Rhinolophus ferrumequinum: one gene and its partners. The protein of the gene in region 1 interacts with the protein of each later gene in a biochemical or structural test. Links are inferred from orthologs where the notes say so. Each region holds a gene or a part of one and is shown on either strand. Other genes may lie near its edges.

Region 1 (7,107 bases):
GTGGAGTGGCCATAGCCTGGCCCCTGCCTGGTGTGGGGAGCAGTAGCCACGGCAACTGGATACAGACAAGCCAGCCTCCAGATCCTGGGAAGACAACACCAACCTCCATTAGCCCAACCAACAACCTGAGACTTCTGTTCAAGAGAACCAGGAAAGGGGAGAGCTTCGGAGAGCAGGAGGAGTCTGCGGACCATCTGCTCAGATGGGGAAACTGAGGTAGAGGGCAAGAAGCTCTGCCAGGGAGGCCAGGCCAGCAGGGCCCAGTCACCCTACCTGTGGCACAGAGGGCAACGAAGGTCTGAGCATGTTTGCGGATGATCTGTTTGTTCTCCTCTGCCACCGGCATTTTGGAGAGGAAGTGTTCAATGAAATCGTGCGGGGTCATGGCGGCCAAGTTCCACTTGAGTTTGTTCACCAGCAGCAGCTCCATTTGCTGTGGAAATGGGGCGAACAAACATAAAGAGAGGTGCAGGGGCAGCTGCTGGAGGGGCTCGAGTGGGAGAGGGGCCTGGAGAGAAAGGATGGGGGTGTTGGGGGTCCAGCAAGTTGGGGAAAACATGCTATCCCAGATCAAAAAATTGAAGGAGCCACTTGTAAAGGTTCCTGCTTGTTATTAAACACTTCACAAGCGGAGACAAAAAAAGACCTCCAGCACATGGAACGCACGCAAAGCCTTGTCCGCGCCGCCGCCGCTAGAGGGCGCGCGCCGCCCACTTTTCGGAGGTACTAGGGACCGAGCCACAGTGGGAATCCCAGCGAAAGTGGGGCGGGGGTCCCGCCAGGTCCTCGGGAGGGGCCCGGGCAGTTTGGCCTCCCGCCCTCGGGGCACAAGGTCTGTGGGAGGCCGGCCGGGTACCCCCTGCCCTCTGCACTTTCCCCACCCGCACTCCGGGGTCCTTTGGCTAAGAGGGCTGCGGCGGGCAGCGGGTTACCAGCAGCTCGTCGGGCCGGATGGAGTTGTCAGTGTAGATGCACAACTTCTCGGCCGTCAGGGGGATGGTCTCTTTCATCTTCGAGGCTACGAACATGCAGGTGGCCCCCAGCAGCTGCAGGCGGCTCTTTTTCACCGGCTCCAGTGAGAGGAAGCGGTCCAGGTAGTTCATGGCCAACGGGAAGACCTCCTCCTCGCACTTCTGCTCCTCGCAGACCTGCCGGGACACCCGGGTCGTGACCGCCGCCGCCGGGCCCCTCCGCGGGACCCCGCGCCCCCCATCCCGCTCGCGCTCGCGCCACGGGTCTCAGAACACGGAGGGTCGGGCAGGGGGTGGCAGACGCTTGCAGTGATGCATCCCCTCCCTTAAGTATCCCTAGTACCCACCCATCCCGAAACTGAAAGGGAAAGTCCCCGCGCGGCTGGCACGGTGGGGGCGGCAGCGGGCATGGCTGGCCGGCATGCGCCGCGCGCGGGCTGCCGGCCCTGGGGACCCCGGCCCCAGTGGGTGCTCTGGGGCCCGCCTGGCCCATGGTCGCACCAAATGGGGTGCGGGGACGCGGGGCTGGGCGCCGCGCTCGCGGCGCCTGCGAGACACAAAGGTGGCGTCCCAGGCCGCCGCGCCGCATTTCCCCAGACGTCATCTTTTCAAAAAATATTTAAAAATATAAAAAAAATAACTGGGTACATAAAAAAAACCTGAAAATGACCCTCGAGCGGCCCTTTACCCAGGCCGGGGGTCGGGAGCTCGTTGCAGGCTCGGTGGAGAGCCCCAGGAATTCAAACTCAGGGGCCCCCCTTCCCCTTGGGCGCGGGCGCCGTTTCACTCTCGCAAGGGCACCACGCCGCACTTCAAAAAAATTATTTAAAAATACTTGCGGGCCCCCCAGGCGCCCACTGAAAGCCCGAAAATGTAACTCTAGCCCCCGGCTCGATATAGACAGGTCCTCCAAACCGAGACCCCTGCAGACGAGGGTCAATACCAGCGTGTTGGGGGCCACGCGACCTTGCAGCCCGGCGTGCTCTCCGGCCAAGGCTGGCGGTGCAGGGAGCCCCGGGACTCGCTGTTTGAACAAAGGGCCCCCACTTCCCGAGTGGGGTCCCCCCCAAACTGCCCGCGCTCGGTCCCCGCGCCCCTCCCGCCGGTTCCCGGCGACCGCGCGGCCCCTTGCCGCGGCCCCAGCGCCTCGCCTGGCGCTCCCCGCCCCCACCCTGCCCCCAATTATTAATAAACACTTTTGCTTTGCAATAAAAGAACAAAGATGGCGCATAATACTGGCACGAGCGGCCCTTGCATACGTGTCCATGGATATTCATTTAAAAATCAAATATATGCCCCCTCCCTCTGGAGCTGGCGGCTCCGCGGCTGGGAGAGGAGGCGCAGCGGACTCAGGCGCAGGCGGGGGCTGCGCGGTGGCGGCCCAGGCGGGGGCCCAAAAGGGCGCCCAGCCCGCCGGCCCGCACCCTCGAGCTAATTAGGGTGCGTCTGGTACTGCCTTTCCCCGCAGGGACCCCCTCCCCCCCGACCAGGAAAGGGAATTGCTAATGCCCCCAACTCTGTCCTTGTTCAAAAAACACCCACAGTATCTATATATTTTGAAAATACGATTCCTAGCTACACCCCCGGCAAACTTCAAAGTTAGGGTGGAAGAAAAGGGAGCAAGATGAGCCGCAAAGAAATGGGAGTGTGGGTAACAAGTTGCAGGCAAGTCTTAAGAGAGCCGCCCAAGCCCCGCACCTCTAGCATCCAGGTGGCCACAATCTTCCGCATGGACGGCAGGATCTCCTTCTGCACACACTTGAAGTACGACACGGAGGGCGCGCAGGTCTCCTCCGCCTTGAGCATGGCCCGCAGCACCCGGTCGTTAAGGAGGTTGGCATCGGGGTATGCCCGGCGGATGGTCTCCACCTCGCAGCACAGGAGCTGGTGTGCCATGGCTGTGGCTCTGCTAGGCGGCCTGGGGCTGGCGGTGGGTCGGGGGCTCGGTCCGCGCTCGGCTCTAGCTCTTGCGCTCCCTCGAGCTCTTCTGCTCCTCGCCCGAGCGCGCGGACGCTGCTGTTCGCTGCTACAGCGCCGACAGCCCTCTGGAGGCTCCAGGACTTTGCAACTTCCAACAAAACTCCCCTGTAGCCCGTGTGACGTTACTGTTGTTCAGCAGAGATCAAAGCCGGGCAGAGAATGGGAGGGGGGGGCGGGGGCGGGGGCGGGCTCAGTAGGAGGGGGCGCGGGCGCCGAGCGCCAGGGAGCTGCGAGGGCCCCGCCGCGGAGTTGCCCCCGAAGCCCAGTTTTCATAGAAATGCAAATCACCCCGAGGCAGCCTTTCTCCCCGCCGGAGAAGAGGGGTGCAGGGGGGCCTGTTTTCCCGGAGTGGGTCCCCCGGGATTTGGGGGGTGGGGTGGAGGTGGCTCTGCAGAGGGGGACAACTAGGAGGGCGGGCAGGCCACACGCAGCCGGGGGGAGACCGCATGGAGGGGGTACTGTGGGGCTTGGCGGCACCCTATATCGGAGCCGGGAGAATGGGCGCATTTCCGAGAACGCCACGAGGGCACCCACGGGCGGAGAGGCGGCCAAGGAATCTCAGCGTCTACATCTTCTTTCATTTTCATTAACACGTGTAAATTTCAGGAACCATTGAACACTCAGGGACGCCGGGCAGAGCCCAGAACCCTGCTGGAGGCTTCATGCCGGCGCACAGGGGGGTCGTTGTAAATGCCCAGGGGAGTAACCCTAAACGTTTAAGAGATTTCAGCCTAGCATGTTCTCGCTCAAAAAATAAAATAAAATAAATGCCCGAAAATTCCAGCAGCAGCCCAAGATGGTGGCCAGCATTTCCTTCATCCTGTCCTCCTCGCCTGGGGATCTGCAGGCTGTCTTCCTACCTTGGCCAGTCCATCCTTGTGGGGTCCCCAAATCCCAACCCACCCCTCCCGGTAATTTACTTACTAGAAAAACACCCTGAATGGAGGGCAGCAAGACAGTGGTCTCTGTCCTGTCTCATTTTAACATTAAAAAGTACATTAAATCGCTTAAAGTTATTAGTCGCCGCTCTGCCAGGGACAAGACCACCGGAAGCTTCCTAATTGGTTCTGTTGGAGGTGTGACATCTTTTCACCTTAAGAATCTGCCCTGGGGCTGCGTTCGTGAGCCTGATGGGGATGGCAGGGGTGACAAAAATTAGAACAATTGTTAAGTTAAAGAAATGGGTGTATTGATCTGATGATTTTAGCAAAACCTATATATGTTCGTGGTTATACGGCAGGGTCCCCAATATTATTGCAAAGTTAAGAGACATATAAAAGAACACATAAATTGTTTTATTAGATTGTCTTTCTGGTGCTTTTTTAAAAAACAAAAGGACATTTTTCCGCTACCGTAACATTTTTTTTACACTACCTTCCCTAAATTAAGAAATTTGTTCATATACTTCCCTCTGAATAGTTTACTGTCATCAAATCACCGTATCCCCTCACCATAAAGGCTCCAAGAAGACGGACAAAAAAGACCCCTCCCTTTCTCAAGGGCGCACGCACCAAGGCAAGACACCCCCTCTTTCAGGGCTGATTCTTCCCGTGCTCTATTCCCGGTTGGGAATTAGGATTTCTAATATTCCAGATCCAGGAGGGTAATTACCCTCGGTTTACGCCTCGGAAGCCGTGGGTGGCCCCAGTAGGGAGCACCCACCGCCGTGTCCCCCTCCCCGGGCAACTATGCTCACTTTGGCCCCGTGCACGCCGGAGCCTCGCAGCATCAGCCTGCGCACGAGGGCCGCCGGGTTGCTTTTTCATTCATAAAATCCCGACCCGGCGGCCGCCCCGATGATTTATGGGGCTTCGCGCTATCACCCGGCGGCTGATGTCCCGGGGGTCTACGGGGCCCGAGCCCCGCGTGCGCCCCTGCCGGGATGGGGCGGGTAGGCGACAGCGAGGGGCAGCGGGGCATAAAGAGGCTCGCCCACTCCGGCAAAACGGGCTCCCGGTCCTGGACGGAGCTTCCCCCCAACCCGGGAGAAAGGCAGAGGAAACTGGAATTAGCATGAGCCAATGGGGGCCCGGCGTTGTTACTAGGCGGACCGGGCAGATCTCAACGAGGAACTTCGATGACTTCCCCGCTCAGGGACGGGCGCAAAAGTGCAAGCCCGGCCAGTGAGCGTGAAGAGCCGTCCAGGAACCCGCGGGGGAGGCGCTGGAATTTGGGGCCCCGCGGGGAGCGCTGGCTGCCCAGCCCCCACCCAGGATCCCAGATCTGTGTTCCCCGGAGCCCGCGAGAGGGGCAACAGCCCCAGGTCCTTGAGGACTGCTGTTTCTTGGAGAACAGAGGATGCGTTTTGATATTAATTTTTTTCCAAAGAGAAAAGCAACTTTTGAAAACTTTTATGTTGCAGTTTTAATTTTGCACTGCTTTTTAAAAACCCACCACGAAGCAGGAACTCCGAATTCTGGGCTCATTTAAAGTGCTCTGAGCTTATTTCTTGGTGACCATTTAGAGACAAAGGGCCGGCAGATCAATCGGGAGGGAAACCACGTTGGTTGGAAAGGAAATCCAAAAGTAACTAAATCACCTTCTTGCTTTCCTGGGCCCCTGGCCCCCCACCGGGGTGACCCTGGCTGGGGAGATTCGTCGGCCCCGAGAGGGCAAATTCCGCAGCAGGCGCGTTTGCCACCGTCCCTGGCTGTGGGAACCTTCATTCAAGGCGGGGGAAGGGAGCGCGTTCATTCAGGAACCCGCGCGCCGCGGCGCGGATTCTGGGATGCACCGCGGCTGCGCGCCGCCCCGCGGGAGGAGGGGGGGCTCTGAGGAGGGGGTGCAGGGCTTAATGGGGCTCTTCCACGGGTGTCGACCTCCCGCCTTCCCCAGAGAGGACGGGGCTGGGGACGAGCGGACGCACCCAGGTGGGGTCACCTGCAGCCGCATACCTGCCGGTGACTTGAAAGGACTTGGCTCCAGCTTCGCGAGTTTTCCGCTGTTAAGCCCTTAAGTCGCCCTGGGAAACACTTCCGAATGAGGGCCACGGGGTTCCGGGGGCGCTTCGGGCTCCCCTTCCCCCACACTACACGCTTTGGGGGCGCGCATGGCGGCCCACGTGCTGCGGTAGCTCCGCCCTGGCTACGTGGTGCGGATCCCTGGCGCCCCAAAGCTGCGGCCTCTGGCCCTGGAGCCCACCCGGCACAGGCACAGCTGGGCGCAGAGGCAGCCGCACCATCCACCGCTCCAAGCTCATGGAGGTGCGTTTCTGCCTCTGATCAATTCATTTCAGCCACACACAGACTACCCGAGCCCCAGTAGTCGGTCCGGCAGTCTGCGGGGTCCGGACACCCCTCCCCCAGCTCTGAACTCGGACGAGGTGTGCGTGGGAGTTAAAAAGCAAACCCCAACAGGTGTGTGGGGGGCTGGCTCCTGCCTCTGGGATCCCGAGGGAAAACGTGCACTTTTGGGGGTGAAAGAATATTCTAACTCCTTGACCTCCGTCCCTCAAAACGCAGCGCTTGATGTCCTGGGTAACATGAAACCCCAAGTCCACTAGGAATTTCCTGGCCTCTTGGCTCAGGTCTCTGGGCGGTCGTTGCCCAAGTATCGCGGAGTGGGTGCCCAGATTGAGAAGATAACCACCTTCAACTAAGGCAGATCGGGCGGGAGATGGGGGTGGAGACCTAGGAGGCCATGTCCTTCCCGCGTCTTCCGTGCCCAAGCAGGGCCGCGGCTCACCCGAGGCTGAGCAGACCCCCGCCCCGAACGAGGGCGCAGGGCTCCGCTGTGGAGACTCGCGTGGCCTAGGAAACGTGTGGCTTGTGGGAGCGGGAACTTCCGGGAGAAGGACCAGCTCTAAGACCCTCGTCGTCTCCCGCGGCGCCCCCACCGCTCCCCACTCCCGGGAAGGACGTGAGGCCCCTTCCCTCGCCTCTAGGACTTGTCGCTCTGCCCCCATCCCCTCCCCTTTTCGGAGAATGTCTGCGGGGAGGACCCCGCATCCTCCTGTCTTTCAGTCAGTTTCGTTCTGCCCTTGAAACGCCCGAGTTCCTATCATTCGCCATAGCCCTGGTGGTGGATGGAAGGGCGGCTGCGGGGGGGGGGGTCTTGATTATGGGGATCCTCCCAATTTGGGGGCTGTGGACACTTGCCAGGAGGGACGGGGAAAGACATTTTTTTCAGGTGCGAGGCGAAGGTTTGCATACCTAAC
Region 2 (7,997 bases), about 77 Mb from region 1:
CAATCAGTATCAATTTCTTATTATCTCTGTCCAGAATCTGGGTTTGAATACCGGAGTCTCTTGGAAACTTAAATTTAGGGAAATGTATTCCTTTTATATTCTTTCTCCCTTGCTTTTGGAATTAACTTGGGCAAATCCCTTTTTTCTAGGACTGTGAAATGGAGTGCTGAACCTATTACCTAATCCCCTTTCTGGTCAAAAATCATAGGACTCTATGATTGGAATGGCCTCAGTACTTCTTAACCACTCACTTCCCCATTTTCAGTACAGAATTACAGAATCTCCATTTAAACCTCAACTCAGCTTCTCCTTCCAATGACCCGAACTTACACTCATTCCACGTTTACCAGCAACTAGGATGCAGTCAAGCAAATTCCTCTGTAGAAAATAATGGGCTCTAGAAGAATTTGTAAAACCCGTAATTCTTGTCTCCTATCCTCCCACCCCCATCTTTAGTGTCTTGCTCCAATGCCCAGTTATTTGTGTGCTCTTTATGGGTATTCAAGACCCACCACTCAGCCCTGCACTCCACAGAGAATGCCCTGGACTCTTCACTCCTCTCCATCTTCTTTCCTTATGAAAAATGGGGACAGTAGGAGTGACAGCCATACAGAATTGTGGTGAAGATTATATGAGATAATGTGCCAGTCCAGGGTCTGACACATGGGGAGCTCTCAGTAAGCCCTAGCTATTGTTATTATTATTACTTCTTATTCTCAGCAAATTGTCAGATGGTAAAGCATCTTGCTTTAGTATCTTGTGCTAGGTCATTGCACCAGCCTTATTTTGTAGTCATGCTTCTGCCCGGCAATCCATTCTGTACTCTACTATTAACTGTATCCTTTTCATCCTATTACCTGAGCTTCTTAGCCTGGCACTCAAAGCCCTCCGCATCTGGTCCCTTTCCAGACAATTTCTCTAATTTAAAGGAGAAATGTAAAGGAAAACACCTAAGAGATTTTATATGGCCAGAAACTCCAAAAGAACCAACAGTGTGTAGCGGTTGGTTCCAGAAAATGTGATACACTTAAAACAGCACTAATAGAAGTCTAGAGTGATAAACAAGGGTATTGATTACTTCACCAAAGGCTGTACCAGTCAGTCGTGGAATAATAATTTTAGGTCTACATGTTGGATTTCAGATTGTGTTGTCAAAAGGCAGTGTGTTCAAGAGAGAGTTGTCTGGGTAATAATTGTTATGGAATGTCCTGTAAAATATGGGTAAAAGAATTAGGTATGTTTAGTTGGGGAAGGGAAGCCTTAGGAGGATAGGATGGTTATCTTTAAGTCCTTCAGATGAAGAACCTCAAGTGAAAGAAGAATTGCATTTATTTTCTGGACATAACCAAAACCAATGGGCAGATGTTACTGAAATGCAGATTTTGGTTTAATAGAAGGAAGAATTTATAACAGATTTGACTAAAAGGAAAATGAAGTAGGCTACTTTATGAAGTTTTTAGTTCTATGTCACTCAAAATGTCCCAGAAGTTCACTAATAATCTTGAAACAATTTGAACAGGGTGGGGATTTGAACTAAATCAAAGGTCTCAATTTTTTTTCTAGCTAAGGAACCCTTTCTTTTAAGTAAAGCTTATGTAAAAATCCCAGTTACAAAACAGATCAATGTGAAACTGTTCTGATTGAAGTCTGAATAGGATCCTTTTATTACTTTTTTTCTTCTCAGCTAGGTACTAATATTCCCGAGAGAAAACAATAAAAGACCATAGTTTTTATAGTTTATACTTACAATGTGTATCCCCTATAGTGTATATTACTTGGGTTTAACAAATATTTGTTGAGCGAACAAATGGATATATCAACAGTTATTTCTCTGAAGCATGCTCTCATTTTAAATTGACGGAAATCCTTTAATCAAGTGAGGGTTCTTACCCTGGGGGGTCCACAGATCCCTAAGAGGGGTATATGAATGGATCTTAAGAGCTGTATGAACCTATTCAAATTGTGTGCCAAATTTGGGAGCATATGTATTTTTCTGGTAAGAGGATCTATCGCTTTTGTCAGATTTTCAAATGGGTCTATAACCCAACAAAGCTAAGAATCCACCACTTTAATGGAAGAATTTCAGATGTCCACCACAGCCTCATAAAATATATATTTTGGGGCAGGGAGGTCCGGGTCCTCTCCAAATCATACACATGCCTGCTCTCTTGATCACAGAGAGTAATTGAGGGGTCAGATACCCAGGGTCTCTTGCACACATCATACCTTTCGTGATAAGACTCCACTTCCAAAGGATGCTGCCCTGGCCATCACCAACAGCCCTTGTTTCCCTTGCATTTAGCCTGGAATGACCATGTGTGGGGTAGTGATGCAGTGGTTCCTCTCTTGGTATGTTCCAAGATAGGAGGCAAATTTCTGTCATGGGCCTCCCCTGTGCGGAGGATAGTGGTTTGGTGATAATGGCAGAGATTTCTGCGTCTGTACCCTTGTGTATACATACTTGGTCCTTCAGAATCAGAGACCATTTTCAGTGGACAGACCTCAGGATGGGAAAACAGGGCTGTAGGCAATCCTCTCCAGCCAAAACCTGCTTTCCCAACCCCTACCCCAAATAAGCCAGACAGTCTGGAGACCCTTGTTTTTGTGTTTCTAATCACCAGCTCAGACAGTGCCCTCTGGGCTGTTTGGATGGCATATCCCTTTTCCCTCCCAGGATCACTCTCTCTTTTGTTGCATTGTGAGAAAATTATGGCTAGGAATTTAATCTGGAGCCAGTGTTAGCTTCTGGGTGTGACCTCAGCATCCAAGTGCGAGCTCAGGGTTCTGTAGTGCTGGGTACACCTAACTGAGGAGCATTTTCTCTAGATGGCTATGAGACCTCTTCCCTCCCTGCCCACCCCCTCCTCCAGGCCACAGAATAGGGAGCGGCACAAACAAGGCCCTGAGATTTGGGTTTATTCAGCTCCACCCAGAACTAAACCAAAGACTAGGACATGTCCCAAGGGACCAAACCATACATTGTGGCCCATGCACTTTTCCATTCCCCCAAGGATGCTGCTGCCTCTCCGGTGGTGGCAGCTGCTCATATCATTGCACGAGGGAGAAAGTGCTGGGTGCTGGGTCTGTGGCACTCAGGGCTCAACTCTGGCTGCCTCCTCCTCTTCCTCCGGATCAGGAGGTGCAGGGAGCAAGGAGATATAGACCTCATTGACCTCAGTGTCCAAATGTCGGCCACCCCGAGGCGCCTCCAGGTTAAGGATGCCATCATGCGAGAGAGCAGCACGGACCCGCCAGGGGTCAACATCAGCAGGCAGGACATAGGTGCGGCAGAACTCTCGGGACACGAAGCCGTGGCGGTCCAGGCGCTGGGGGTGCCGGGCAGACACCTCCAGCAAGTTGTCCACAGTCCTCACGGTCACCTCATCTGGGGTAAAGTGGCTCACGTCCAGAAATGCCTGGAACTTGCCCTCACTGAGCCTGAGCTCGGAGGCCCCTGCCCTGCTGCCCTCCCCAGCTCTGGTGGCCCGGGGCCGGACATAGTAGCCATGGTAGAGGGTGGGGGTCAGGATCTCTTCTGGTAGGAGGCCTGAGGGGCAGAGAAAGAGAAGGCAAGAGGCAGGATGAGGGAGCATGAGGTAGGAACGGGGTGAAATGAGAGATGAGGACTGGGGAGAGCAGGAGGGGAGTCAGAAGTAGGTAAGGGGAGAGGGTGGGGGACACAGCGACTAGAAGGAGGCAACGGGGAGAAGGGATTGAGAAAGGAAATGAGATGGGGGCAGAGGAGGGCAAACCAAAGCAGAACTGGGTAAACAGAAGGGGAACAAGAGGCATCCTTAGGGGGGCAGGGGGCAGGTGTCAGAGCACTGCTCTTACCACCTCTACTCTGAGGTCAGTAGAAAGGGAAAAGAGCCCTGCTTGGAGGGAGTGAGGGGGGAGCTGGGGTGGGAGATGGCTCGCCCCAGGAGTTCAGTTAAGCCCGGAGTGGGGTGGAGGCCAGCACCGTTGGGAGGTCAGCCCAGAATTTCAGGCGGTGGGGGTGGGAGGCAAGGAAGTGGCGGCTGTGCCATACCTTCTCCGAAGCGCTGCTCACCCAGGCGGCTCGGGTTGGCAAACTCGTACTCGGCGGTGGCTGGGTGGGCATGTGGCACCGAGCGGCCCGACATGGTTGCAGACGTGTCAGAGGCCCCGGTCCGAGGTGCACCGAGACCCCACCAGCTGCCTGGAGAGCCAGGGCTCGGTCCGAGGTGGGGGCGGGGTCTACACCACCCAAAATAGTGTCGAGCCTCGAGCCTCGGGGAGGGGCGGGCAGCGGGGCCCTGAGCGCCAGCCAAGAGTGTGTGACCAGCGCTGCCTGGACCCCCGCCCCCTCCCCTGCACACCCTTCAGCTGTCGCAGGGGACTCCAGAGGACAGCTGGGGGTCCTGGCTGGGGAGCGAGCTGGGGAGCGGTGGCTAGCATTAGAGGCCCTAGAGAGGCCTCGCTGAGACCCTCACAGTTTGCACATTGTCCACGCCACCTTTTCTCCTCCTCAGTCGCACCCCACTTCATAAAGCTCTCCTGGATTTAATGTTCTGCCAGCCTTATAAGGTGAAAGAGGAACACTTTTCTTCCTTCTCTTTGGGGTGGGGTGAGGGCTCTTCCTGCCCAGATTAATGTCAGGGTCCTTACCTGAACCCACATCAACTTTGAGCACCACACAGATGCCTGCCACAGACATGTTGGTGATCACTGCTCTCCTCCAGGGACCCACAAAGAGTTAATGTCTCTGGGGCCCAGCCAAGGAAGATTCCAGTTCCTGCCCAGGCCCAAGATAGTTGCTGGCTGGATTCCCCTGGCTCCCTAGGCTGGAGAGGAGGAGGGGCACACCTCCTGCCTGCTTGGGATTCTTGACTCTGTCCCAGTCAAGGGGGGCGGGAGGGACGGGGTGGGGGGGATAGGGTGTGGGCAGAAAGCTAGTGAAACAAGTCCAGGGCAAGTCACTGGACAGCTCAGACGTGTTTGTATTTCTCTTTTCTTAGCTCAGTGAGTACTGGGTATGTGTCACACTGCCAAATCTCCGATCACAAGTCTCTATGAACGGGTGGTGAGCTAGGATAATAAAACCCCTGACATCACCGTTCCAGAAGCTTCACAAGACTGCATATATAAAGCGCTGGTTGTAGCTGCAGCTGAAGGAGCTGACCAGCCAGCTGACCCCCAGCAGTCAAAAAGCCACCATGGATATTGCCATTCACCACCCCTGGATCCGACGCCCCTTCTTTCCTTTCCACTCCCCCAGCCGCCTCTTTGACCAGTTCTTTGGAGAGCACCTGTTGGAGTCTGATTTCTTCCCACCTTCTACTTCCCTGAGCCCTTTCTACTTTCGGCTGCCCTCATTCCTGCGGGCACCCAGCTGGGTTGACACTGGGCTCTCAGAGGTAAGTCTCCCCTCTGTAGGACAGGAGAGTTCTTCCTGAACCTTCTGGAAAAATGTCTGTCTGCTCTACTTCTCCTGTCTGTCTAAATCTGGCTATGTCTAAGTGTCCTAAATCTCTTACGCAATTGCGTGTCCTGCAGCGAAGAAAGATGAGGTTACTAGTTCCTCTGTCTCTCCCCCAGTCACCTGTTTGTCTTTGATGCTTCTCTATATCCTACTTACTACATCTTTCCCATGTGCTAGGAAGATCATCCATACCCTAACTTCTAAGAAGGATGCCCCTTTCTGGTTTTGTTCATAAGTATCTACAGGGAAAGAGCTGCCTTCAAACTCCTTTGCTCACCATTTCTAATACCTCATACTCCTGACAAATTTTATCATCTTAAGTTTCAGACCAGGAGACAGCCCTACCTCATTGTGAGTTTGTCATCCCCACTGAATGGAGCTGGAGACAGCAACCGCTATTTTCTTCCTTCTTACTCCCTCTTCTGTGATTTTCTGAGTTTCTCAGGGCTGTGACAGGGCACTGGCCTGGGTCTAAGCCTAAGGAGGAAAGATGTAGGTCCAGTCTTAGGACCCCCACTTGTCCTAAGAGGGCGAGAGAATGGAGTGAACATACAAGGTGGACAGAAGCCGTCACAGATAACACTCTAGTTTAAAAATATTCAAGTGTGAATAAATAGGAGCTGAGTGGGCAAGGGCTTTGGAAAGACAATCATGGCCAGCACAACATTCCAGATTGAGTGGGTGGGAAACTTGGCAGAGACCTGAGCAAGAAGAAGAGGCCTTTGTCTAACAGACAAATGACAAGGCCAGGCATTGGGGTCAGAGAGGCAGTAGAAGCCAGGCCCAGACCCATCCTTGTGATTATTCCCCCTGGGTGGCCTGTTGTCTTCCCTGTCCCTGTAAATAAAGTTTGATCCTGATGACCAAGTGCTGTGCCTTGGGTACCACTGTGGTGGCTCCCCTAAACCAGAGAATCATGTTTATTTAAAAAGGAATTTTTTTGCCAAAAAGAGGAGACTAAATTACCTGCCTAGAAAGCAAGTCAGCAGAATGGTAAGACTGCACTACTTATCCACATTCCTACCATATTTTTCTCCTACCCCCTCCTCTCCACCTTACTATTTCTAGATGCGTCTGGAGAAGGACAGATTCTCTGTCAACCTGGATGTGAAGCACTTCTCCCCAGAGGAACTCAAGGTCAAGGTGCTGGGAGATGTGATTGAGGTGCACGGCAAACATGAAGAGCGCCAGGTATGCAGCTTGTTTTCTCTACTGTTCATTCATTCAGGGCATACTATATACATACCATCAGCCTTTGAGGCTGGCAACATTTCAGTCCTAAACCATTAGGGTCTGGAACAGGGATAGACCTGGCGTTGTTGTTGTTGTTTTGGCCAGAGACATGATCCGTTGTTTGTTTTGATTTGATTGCCTTAGATAGGACAAATGGGCTTCCCATTTAAGCCAGTGGTCCGAAACCTTAGCCACGTTAGAATCACAAAGGGAATTGTAAAAAATTCCAGTGCTCTGGTTTATCTCAGACCAATTAAATCAGAATTTTTAGGGATGGAACCTAGGCATCAACATTTTTATAAAGCTCCCTAGGTAATTCTAATGTACAGTCAAGGATGAAGACCGCTGACTTAGGCATAGTGCTTGTCCGACACCTGGTTGCTTTTCATAATTACATTAACTGCATGTACCCCGAAGGCTCTTGAGTTTGGGACTTTTCTTTTAGATGTTCAGGAATCCTTTTCTGTTTAGCCCTTCTTAGTCCTGAACTACACGGTCTGCCTAAGTTTCAGAGCTGTACTCAGCTCCTAATACTGTAGAGCCCATGTAGAAATCAGTTAATTAAGAGCCTGTCTGGATAAATGCTTGAGATTCAGCAGATATAAGGGTTAGGGTCCACTGCTCTTTAGCAGAATACTCAAGGATGGAATAACTTCTCATCACTTTCTGGGAGGGTTTTTTGATGGGTTTGCTTCTTACCAATTGGTGATAACTGAGAACCTTATTCATCAAACAGTACAGTTTTAGTCCCTCCGCCTGTTTCTGTTTTGTGTGTATGATTTTAGTTTGGGTCAGAGTCTCCCTGGATGGAGTCTTTTTTTTTTTTTTTTTTTTTTCCCCTAATGGTAGCAGTCCTATTGGCCTGGAACATTCTGGGACCTTCCCTGAAGAGTCAAGACAATTTCTAAGCTTCCTTAGGGATTCAGATCTTCAATGCCGGATGATATTCCAAATCCTGTAGGCCCAACAAACATAGATCTAATCCTCTGGGAAATACATCTAAACATATCCATGCCTCCGGGTTATGAAGTTTTGCCTGTTTCAGACTTCTCAGATTCTCATTGGTAGGAGTGACCACCTAGGCAGCTTCTTCTTCGTCCCAAAAAGGACAGCTTTTTTTCATGTTGCCACAGTATTGGTCATTCCTAAGGGGAAGGAGGATGTTTGAGTTCTAAGCAAGTGGTGCTATTTTCCTGTTCTTATCTCTCTGCCTCTTTCCTTGTTCTCTTGGATTAGGATGAACATGGTTTCATCTCCCGGGAGTTCCACAGGAAATACCGGATTCCAGCGGATGTGGACCCTCTAGCCATTACTTCGTCCC
Region 3 (7,358 bases), on another chromosome or scaffold:
TTTCGGCTTAAGGCCTGGTGCCGTCTGCAGCCAGTCGCTCCTCACCCCCACCCCCTCCAGCCCACAGCACAACAAACTGCGGGGTTGGGGGTCACCTTCCCTCCCCATTCATTTGCAATCTAGGACCCAGGAATCCGCCAACCCACGGCCGCCCCGCGGCCTCGGCGGGACGTTAGCCACGCCGGCCGCGTGTCCGGAATTCCCGGGGCACTTCGGAATTACCTGCCCCATAACCGCTGGCCCGCTCGCCTTCTTCCAGGAATTAAAGAAACAAATGGCGCGACCCTCACGGTGTGAGGGCGGAAGGGACCACAGCGAGGACAGACACCCTCACACTCAATCCATTCAAAACTCTCCTTAAAAGGTGAAGGTGAATCCAGGCGGGGGCCGAAGAACGAGCCCCCAGAGCCTGCCCGGGGGGTCTGAGCCAGGCCGAGGGCCACACAGGTAGCGGAGGAGCCACCGCCAGTAGCGCAGCCCCGTCGGCGTACCCGCGCCCCTCCTCCCCTCCAGCCCCAGGCTCTGCAGCGAAGGAAACGTCGCCGACGTCCCACCCCCGCAGGGAACTGCGCCCGCTGCCCCCGCCCGGCCCCGCACAGCCCGCCCAGGCTCTCCCCCCTCGCTCCCGCGACCTTCGGCTCCGGCGGAGAGAAACGGGAGCAGCAGTGCCTTCCCCCCACCCTTCACTTTTTTTTGTTGTTGTTGTTGTTGCTTTCCCACGCTGGCTGAATGTGACTTGACCCCATTTCAAAAAAGTTTGACATAGTGCTTCAACATTTCCGCATTCCTCTGCGACTACAAAGACTACAGCCGCCTCCTTCTGCTTTCTGTCTCTGCTCTCTGTCTTCACACTCAATGAAATGCTTCATGTGCCTCTCCCGAAGCCTGCCAAGCACCGCAAGGGTCGCCACCAGCGCAGCGACAAGAGGCCGCACCGGCGACCAGGGCTCCCGCGTGTGCGCACACGCAGATGCGCCCACGTGCACACTGGCCGGCGCGCTGTGGGGCGGGAGCTGCTCACTGCGGGGTGTGTTTTAACTCCGATATTTTAAATTATAAAAGTAAACTGGGAAACTAAAGCAAACGTGAGTCCTTACCGGGCTCCAAACCTGGGCACTGGCAGCCTGCGTGCACTCTTCTAAGTGTGCATAACATGCCCGCAGGGGTTGCCAGCAAGGAGCCTGCGTTAACACTTATCTCGTATCTCGTGGTGGGAAGGTGGAGCCCACACCCACACCCACATCTCAGCGAGCTGGAGAGGGAGCTCTCGTGGGGAAATCAAGATGGGGCACGGAAACACGATCTCCCGCACTAAGTCCCCCCATTTTCAACCCTAAATGTGGATCACTGTGTGAGTGTCCGAGTGGAGTTTAAATTCTGTTTGAAGAAACTGGATAAGGAGTGCTTGCTTAAGTAGGTGGTTGTGCGCAGGTTGTGAGGGAGCAGGCTCAGGATCTCTGTGTTGGGGGTGTCCCTAGTGTGGTATGTCCTCTTGCCAGATTAGGAAAAACTCCTTTAGCTCCCCCACACTGGCCCCCGTAACTGCCCCGCCTCGGTTCGTAAGGGGTTAACCTACGCGGATTCCGAGGACATACCCCACAATAGTCTACCCACACCTACACCCTCGCTTCCGACCCTAGCCAAGCCCCCCAATCTCCCCGGGGACCCCCCACCCCGCAGCCCACCCACCCGAGTGCACAGCTCCTCACCTGAGGGGCCTGGCCTCGTCCAGCCTCCGGAGGGGGCTGCAAGTGTCAGTCTGATGTCCGCACGTGTCCAGCGCGGCGCGGAGAAGGTAACCCGGTTGGAGGAAGGAGTCACCAGCTCTCTCTCCCGCAAGGGGGTGGGCACAGCGGCGGAGGGCGGAGGGACCGCGGAGGGCGCCGCCCGCACGGTTCGCTGGGAGACAGTACGGCCGCGGGGCTCTGGCCGAGGCTCGGGGCAGAGCCGGGGAGGCAGCAAGGGGCGGGGGCGGAGGCCCGGGAGACCTACTCTGCTCGAGACCCACCCTGCGGCGGGGTTGGGGACTCGCGGTGCAGTAGCAAGCAAGTGTGCAAATTAAAGCCTTCCGGAGACAGGGGAGGCGGCCGAGACCCGGCTGTGCTCTGAGCCTCCCAGCTCCCCAGCTCTCGGCTCCAACTGGGGGGCGAGTCGGAGGTGGGGGAGTTAAATGAAAATTTCCGGCTTTCACTGCGATTGGAGTGGGGGTTCTTGCGACTAAAACAAGAGGCGTGAGAGGGAGAGTGGGATGAGACGTCGGGAGTCGGCAGAGTTTCCAAACCCAGGGTCGCCCACAGTTGGGGTTTTGACAGAGTGAGGCGGGGGTATCAGCAGTCTGTGATGTGGACGGATGGGAAAAACACAAAACAACCAACAATAATTATGAGAGGCCGGTGGGGATGGTAAATACCCACACTTTCCAAGAAACTGAGAAATCAGACCGAAAAATAACTTTTCTCTATTAAAAAAAAAAAGTTTGGCAGGACGCCTTGCAGAAAATACTAATCTGTCCAAGCACTTTTCACTTTCTACATGAGCTACATTTGTTTTGTTTTCCTTCGCTTCCTTTCGGCCTCACAAAGCCCTATCTTTTCCTTTTGGACAGAGGATATGATTTGGAAATTGTCAGGCACTCTTGTGGTTAACGATCTACTTGAAGGGGCTGGCGGGTTCACAATTATTAAGTGGTTAGCAACTGCTGAGGGTTTGGGGAGCTAAAAAGACTAAAATTCAGTGTAAATAACAGAACAGCAAGATAATAGACACACACAAAGAGAAGAGAAAGTGATTCGGTGGGTGCTCAGTTTAAATGCATTATTGGAATTCTGAAATTTGAAACCTTGTAAGAATTTATACTTTACCTGCTGAGAAAACCTGAATACAATTATTTCAGGTGAAAATGAGATTTTGGAAGGAAAAAAAAGTTTCCAAGAGTTTTTACCATAGGGTAAAACAAAACTTAAAATTAACTGTTTTTTGGAAAGAATTCAGTTTTGTCCAAAAATCTGTATCTGTAGAATACTTGAAACCATTTTAACATCTTAAACCCAAGCTAAAAAAAATTATTTCAGTGCTCTGTGGAAAAATTAAAACCCAGCAAAATTCTGTTTAAATTGGAAATATTACCTCTATAAATCTTTTGACTTTTTGAACTAAACCATGTTGCTAATTTCACACTAGATCAAAATTTTGCCTTTATAAAATTGATTTCTATACTACAGTGTGAAGTGGCAGGTTAAGTAACTAAAAATTGTTGCATTTCCATTAGCAAATATTTTGCAATGTATTCTAATAATTTTTTCTTAAATAATGAAAGTGAAGAATTGTGTTTCTGTGTGCTTAATATAATTCATAAAATACATTTTGTGTTTAGGGGCATGTCTTCTAAAATAAAATCCAATTTCAGAACAAAATTTGTACTTGTAAAGATATCTATGATCTCATATATCTTCTAGACTTAAGAAAGCAAATTGTTGGATTTTGTATTTATATAAAATATTGGATCACTACAAATCATGAATTAGACTTTAAACCCAAGACACAAATGACAATCCTCCATTTTAATAATTACACTTATCAATGCTTTTAAAATCTTAAAACAAGATTTATTTGCTGGTAATCAACACATTTATGTAATTCAGAAATAATTGTCAATCAATAGTCAGAGGACCCAGTAAATGATTGTAAAAATTTATTTGAGTACATAATTTGTTTAAAAAATATTAAGCTGTAAATATCTTTAAAATTAACAGAAAAATGTCTTTTCTATACTGCATTGCATTTTTAATTACTTAATTTGACAACAACCATAGGTGAATTAGAAATTCCATAATTTAGGTTACTAGATCACTTAGGCAATGTAAAAAACAATGAAACTTTCATTACATATGTTAATACTGAGTGTTAACTCTCTTTATATCATCTGCTTTCTTTGATATTGTTAATTTATCATTGTTCACTCTCCCTGGTTATGGTTCACATTGATACCTGGTTGCTTAAATCTTCAGACCAGGAAGTTTTACAATGGATTTTATAAAATTAGCAAATACCAGATTGTTTTTGTTTATGGACAACTTCCTCTGTGGATAACAGGTTATCATAACAAAATCTGTGCAAAGTTTATAAACTGTGAACCAAATTCCGACTCTTTTGTTTAGGAATCTTCGATGAATGAAAACATAGCATTTAAGAATAAATAATGATTTGCACCAGTATTTTCACACCACACATCAGATATTCTAAAGTTGCAAATCATCTTACAGGTTTTTAAAAATTAGAACTCATGGATTTATCTCCAAATATGATGTTGTAGCTTACACTGAAAGTTTTCTTAAGTGTCACAGAAAAGATATATTCCATGTGTGAATATTTTATATCATATATCTGTAAATTTTTGTTTTCACTAAAATAAAAAAATCTCTTTAATTATGGTCTATAATTTATAACCTCATTTAAGAAATGAGTAATTTATTTAAAATTAGTAATTATATAATTAATGTACATCTAATTCTAAGTGATCTCTGACTTATATTAGCTATTTGAATTTATAAAATACATTTCCCAGAAATTCAGAAGTGAGATTTTGCTTAATCTACTACATAATAGTTTTAATTGGAGGTCCATGTAAATGTATACTTTTTGTCTATAAATCTCTCCTGTTTGTTGTTTTGATAAAAAACCTTTTCTGGTTTAATAACTGTGAAATCAGTTACCCTTGTTTTAAACTTGATTTTTATGTCTATGTAAATATACTTTGTTAAGTAATTACCACGAAAAACTATAATTTTAACAGAAATAGCAATTTATAATTCAGTGCATTTTAATGCATTCTTTTTTTTCCCCAGGCATTTCCAAGGTGTTTTCTTGGGTTTTCCCTTAAAATGTAACATTGAAAATTTGCTAATATTCTAGGAAAAATCAATTGTATTACCAACTTTTGCAACTGTAAAATTATGAACTTGAAATGACTTTTTAAGTTCAATCTTCTAAATAAATTACTTGGCATCAATTTGGAAATGACCTGGGCTTTTTTGGTTTTGTTTTTGCATGTGATCTAGTGCATTGCATTTGAGCAGTGAAACTTGAAAAGATTTTGATTCTTGCTGTGAGGGAAAAAAATATATGGGGTAGTAGCTTATAAAATTTAAGGGAAAAAAAACAGACATTATTATCTTTTGGAACATTCCGTTTTTATGGATTCTACAGCTCTATAATTATCCCTGGGCTACATGTCAGTACTATGTTCATATTTGTATAATTGTCATCATCTTTCCTATTTTTTTGCCTTTTGACAGACACTTACATCTTCTTTTTTCCTTTGTGTGTGTGTACATGTGTGTGAATATGTTCTTGGCTATTGTGACATGTTTGAAATGTGTTCTTAAGATCCTTTCATTATCTATATTAGAATTCTGAGTAATCAGAAGAATAACTATGGAAATACACTTATAAAAGTTAGTGATAATCACATGGAAATATCTACATTTCCTCTACATTTAGAATGTCCTGTAATTTTTTTTACTGACTTCTAACATTTCTTTTCTAAGATAATAAATACTTGCATCTCAGCTGCACACATGGCCTAACAATTGTGTTGCCATAGTTGCCTTTGGTTGACCTTAAAACATATGTACATGTTTTAGATAGATCATTCAGATGAAGTAGTAGAGGTACAACACAGTGGGCATGAATGATGATAAAGTGGGATCTGGGAGGGTGGGAGGAAGTACAAAGAAAGGCACCTGGGACAAACTTCTATTAATGGCCTGGCAGCAGGTAAAAGTGAAGAAAGCACATGTTAATGTCTCGGGCCAAGAGATGTTCCCCAGTGCTCTACGTATGGCGTATCTAGGCAACTTGAATCTTTCAGAATGAACAGCATTCTATGTCTATCCTATTATGAAATGAAATCTATCTTACTGAATGCGATTGTATAATGTATGCATCCATATACATGTAACTATTTTATGTTGTCTCATAATGGATTTTCCCTGAAAATACACATAATGGAATTCTTTGCAGAATTCTTTTTTTTAAATTAAATTTTATTGGGGTGACAATTGTTAGTAAAGTTACATAGATATCAGGTGTACAACTCTGTAATACATCATCTACTGTGTTTCCCCGAAAATAAGTCCTAGCCGGACCATCAGCTGTAATGCTCTCTTTTGGAGCGAAAATTAATATAAGACCCGGTATTATGTTATGTTATGTATGTTATGTTATGTTATGTTATGTTATGTTATGTTATGTTGTCATACAAGACCTGGTCTTATATAATAGTAAAATAAGACCGGGTCTTATATTAATTTTTGCTCCAAAAGATGCATTAGAGCTGATGGTTCGTCTAAGCCTTATTTTCGGGGAAATATGGTATATATTGCAGAATTCTTTAAATGCCTAGAAGAAAGTAGATAATAGAATAGCTCCGTGGATCAAACATTTTACCATAAATTGAAGAGAGGGTCCAATTTTTAAACCCTACTATAAACTTGTTCCAAGTTACTCATAACTTCTTATATCCAGTATCTAGCACAGCAGCTGTCAAGTATTTTATGTCCAATAACTGTTTGTCAATGGGAAAATTGGCTTTGTACCTTATTGTCCGTCTTCTTTGGGACTACTTCTTTCAATTTCCTTGAAGGGGTCATGTTAAAGTAATGTTTAATATAATCCCAGCAAAGGTTTAGGATCAGTGTGCTGATTTCAGTACCGCAGAAACGTGTCTTCTCTACCTGCAGTTCCCTTTCCCTTCAGCCTTCTAAATCCTATCATTTCAAGGCCGAGCTCCTCCTAAAACCTCGATTCCCTCAGCAGAAAGGCATTCCTCTTTGCTCTAACTCCTTGAAGTCATCTGCTCTCTTTAGCCTTCCTAAAAGCTTGATGCTCTGCTACCCACCACCCTGAGCTCCCCCAAGGGCGTCCACAGTGCCTTGCTCCCTGTGACAATGCTATGTATGCCATGTGGCCATAGTAGGTGGTCAGTAAAGGCAGCAGAGGGTCCTGTTTCTCTCCATGAGTGTTACTGAGTCAAGCAGACACAGAACAGAATAATGTGACATCACTAGAATAACATCTGAAAAGTTGAGAACGGTGTTCCAATTTGCTTACATGGGAAAAAAACAAACAAAAAAAACAACAAATAGGTCATCCTGCTACTTTGTGTGGATTTGTTATATTTTCTCTTGTGTTGCAGGTATTAGTTATTGAAAAAATTTTTGTCTAAAAGAAAATATGTTTGGATGAATTTCTAAATTTGCCGGAAAGACAAATTCTCAAATCTCATCTGAAAAAAAACGTGTTTAGATAATTTTCTCCACTTCCTATCCCCGAAAATTTCAACTAAATGATTTTTCTTT

The links.
Region 2: of the proteins of CCND1 (region 1) and CRYAB, one has a biochemical effect on the other in vitro, tested with the Homo sapiens proteins (2 studies listed by BioGRID, with this or other methods). The link is inferred for Rhinolophus ferrumequinum from reciprocal best matches to the Homo sapiens genes CCND1 and CRYAB.
Region 3: the proteins of CCND1 (region 1) and CDK6 form a complex in vitro, tested with the Homo sapiens proteins (3 studies listed by BioGRID and IntAct, with this or other methods). The link is inferred for Rhinolophus ferrumequinum from reciprocal best matches to the Homo sapiens genes CCND1 and CDK6.

Annotation. Positions count from the first base shown.
Region 1 is NC_046294.1:3,500,891-3,507,997, forward strand, and holds the start of CCND1 (G1/S-specific cyclin-D1), read right to left. Parts: upstream 3,083-7,107; 5' UTR 2,868-3,082; coding exon 2,670-2,867; intron 1,149-2,669; coding exon 933-1,148; intron 434-932; coding exon 274-433; intron 1-273. UniProt on the Homo sapiens protein: Regulatory component of the cyclin D1-CDK4 (DC) complex that phosphorylates and inhibits members of the retinoblastoma (RB) protein family including RB1 and regulates the cell-cycle during G(1)/S transition.
Region 2 is NC_046294.1:80,288,689-80,296,685, reverse strand, and holds the start of CRYAB (alpha-crystallin B chain), read left to right. Parts: upstream 1-4,969; 5' UTR 4,970-5,177; coding exon 5,178-5,378; intron 5,379-6,229; exon of another isoform or gene 6,230-6,433; coding exon of another isoform or gene 6,434-6,436; intron 6,437-6,511; coding exon 6,512-6,634; intron 6,635-7,912; coding exon 7,913-7,997. Other genes in the region: HSPB2 (heat shock protein beta-2), read right to left, coding at 3,093-3,547, 4,031-4,124. UniProt on the Homo sapiens protein: May contribute to the transparency and refractive index of the lens. Has chaperone-like activity, preventing aggregation of various proteins under a wide range of stress conditions.
Region 3 is NC_046303.1:33,410,739-33,418,096, reverse strand, and holds the start of CDK6 (cyclin-dependent kinase 6), read right to left. Parts: upstream 3,092-7,358; 5' UTR 1,710-3,091; intron 1,163-1,709; exon of another isoform or gene 1,098-1,162; intron 1,029-1,097; exon of another isoform or gene 633-1,028; intron 373-632; exon of another isoform or gene 223-372; intron 1-222. UniProt on the Homo sapiens protein: Serine/threonine-protein kinase involved in the control of the cell cycle and differentiation; promotes G1/S transition. Phosphorylates pRB/RB1 and NPM1.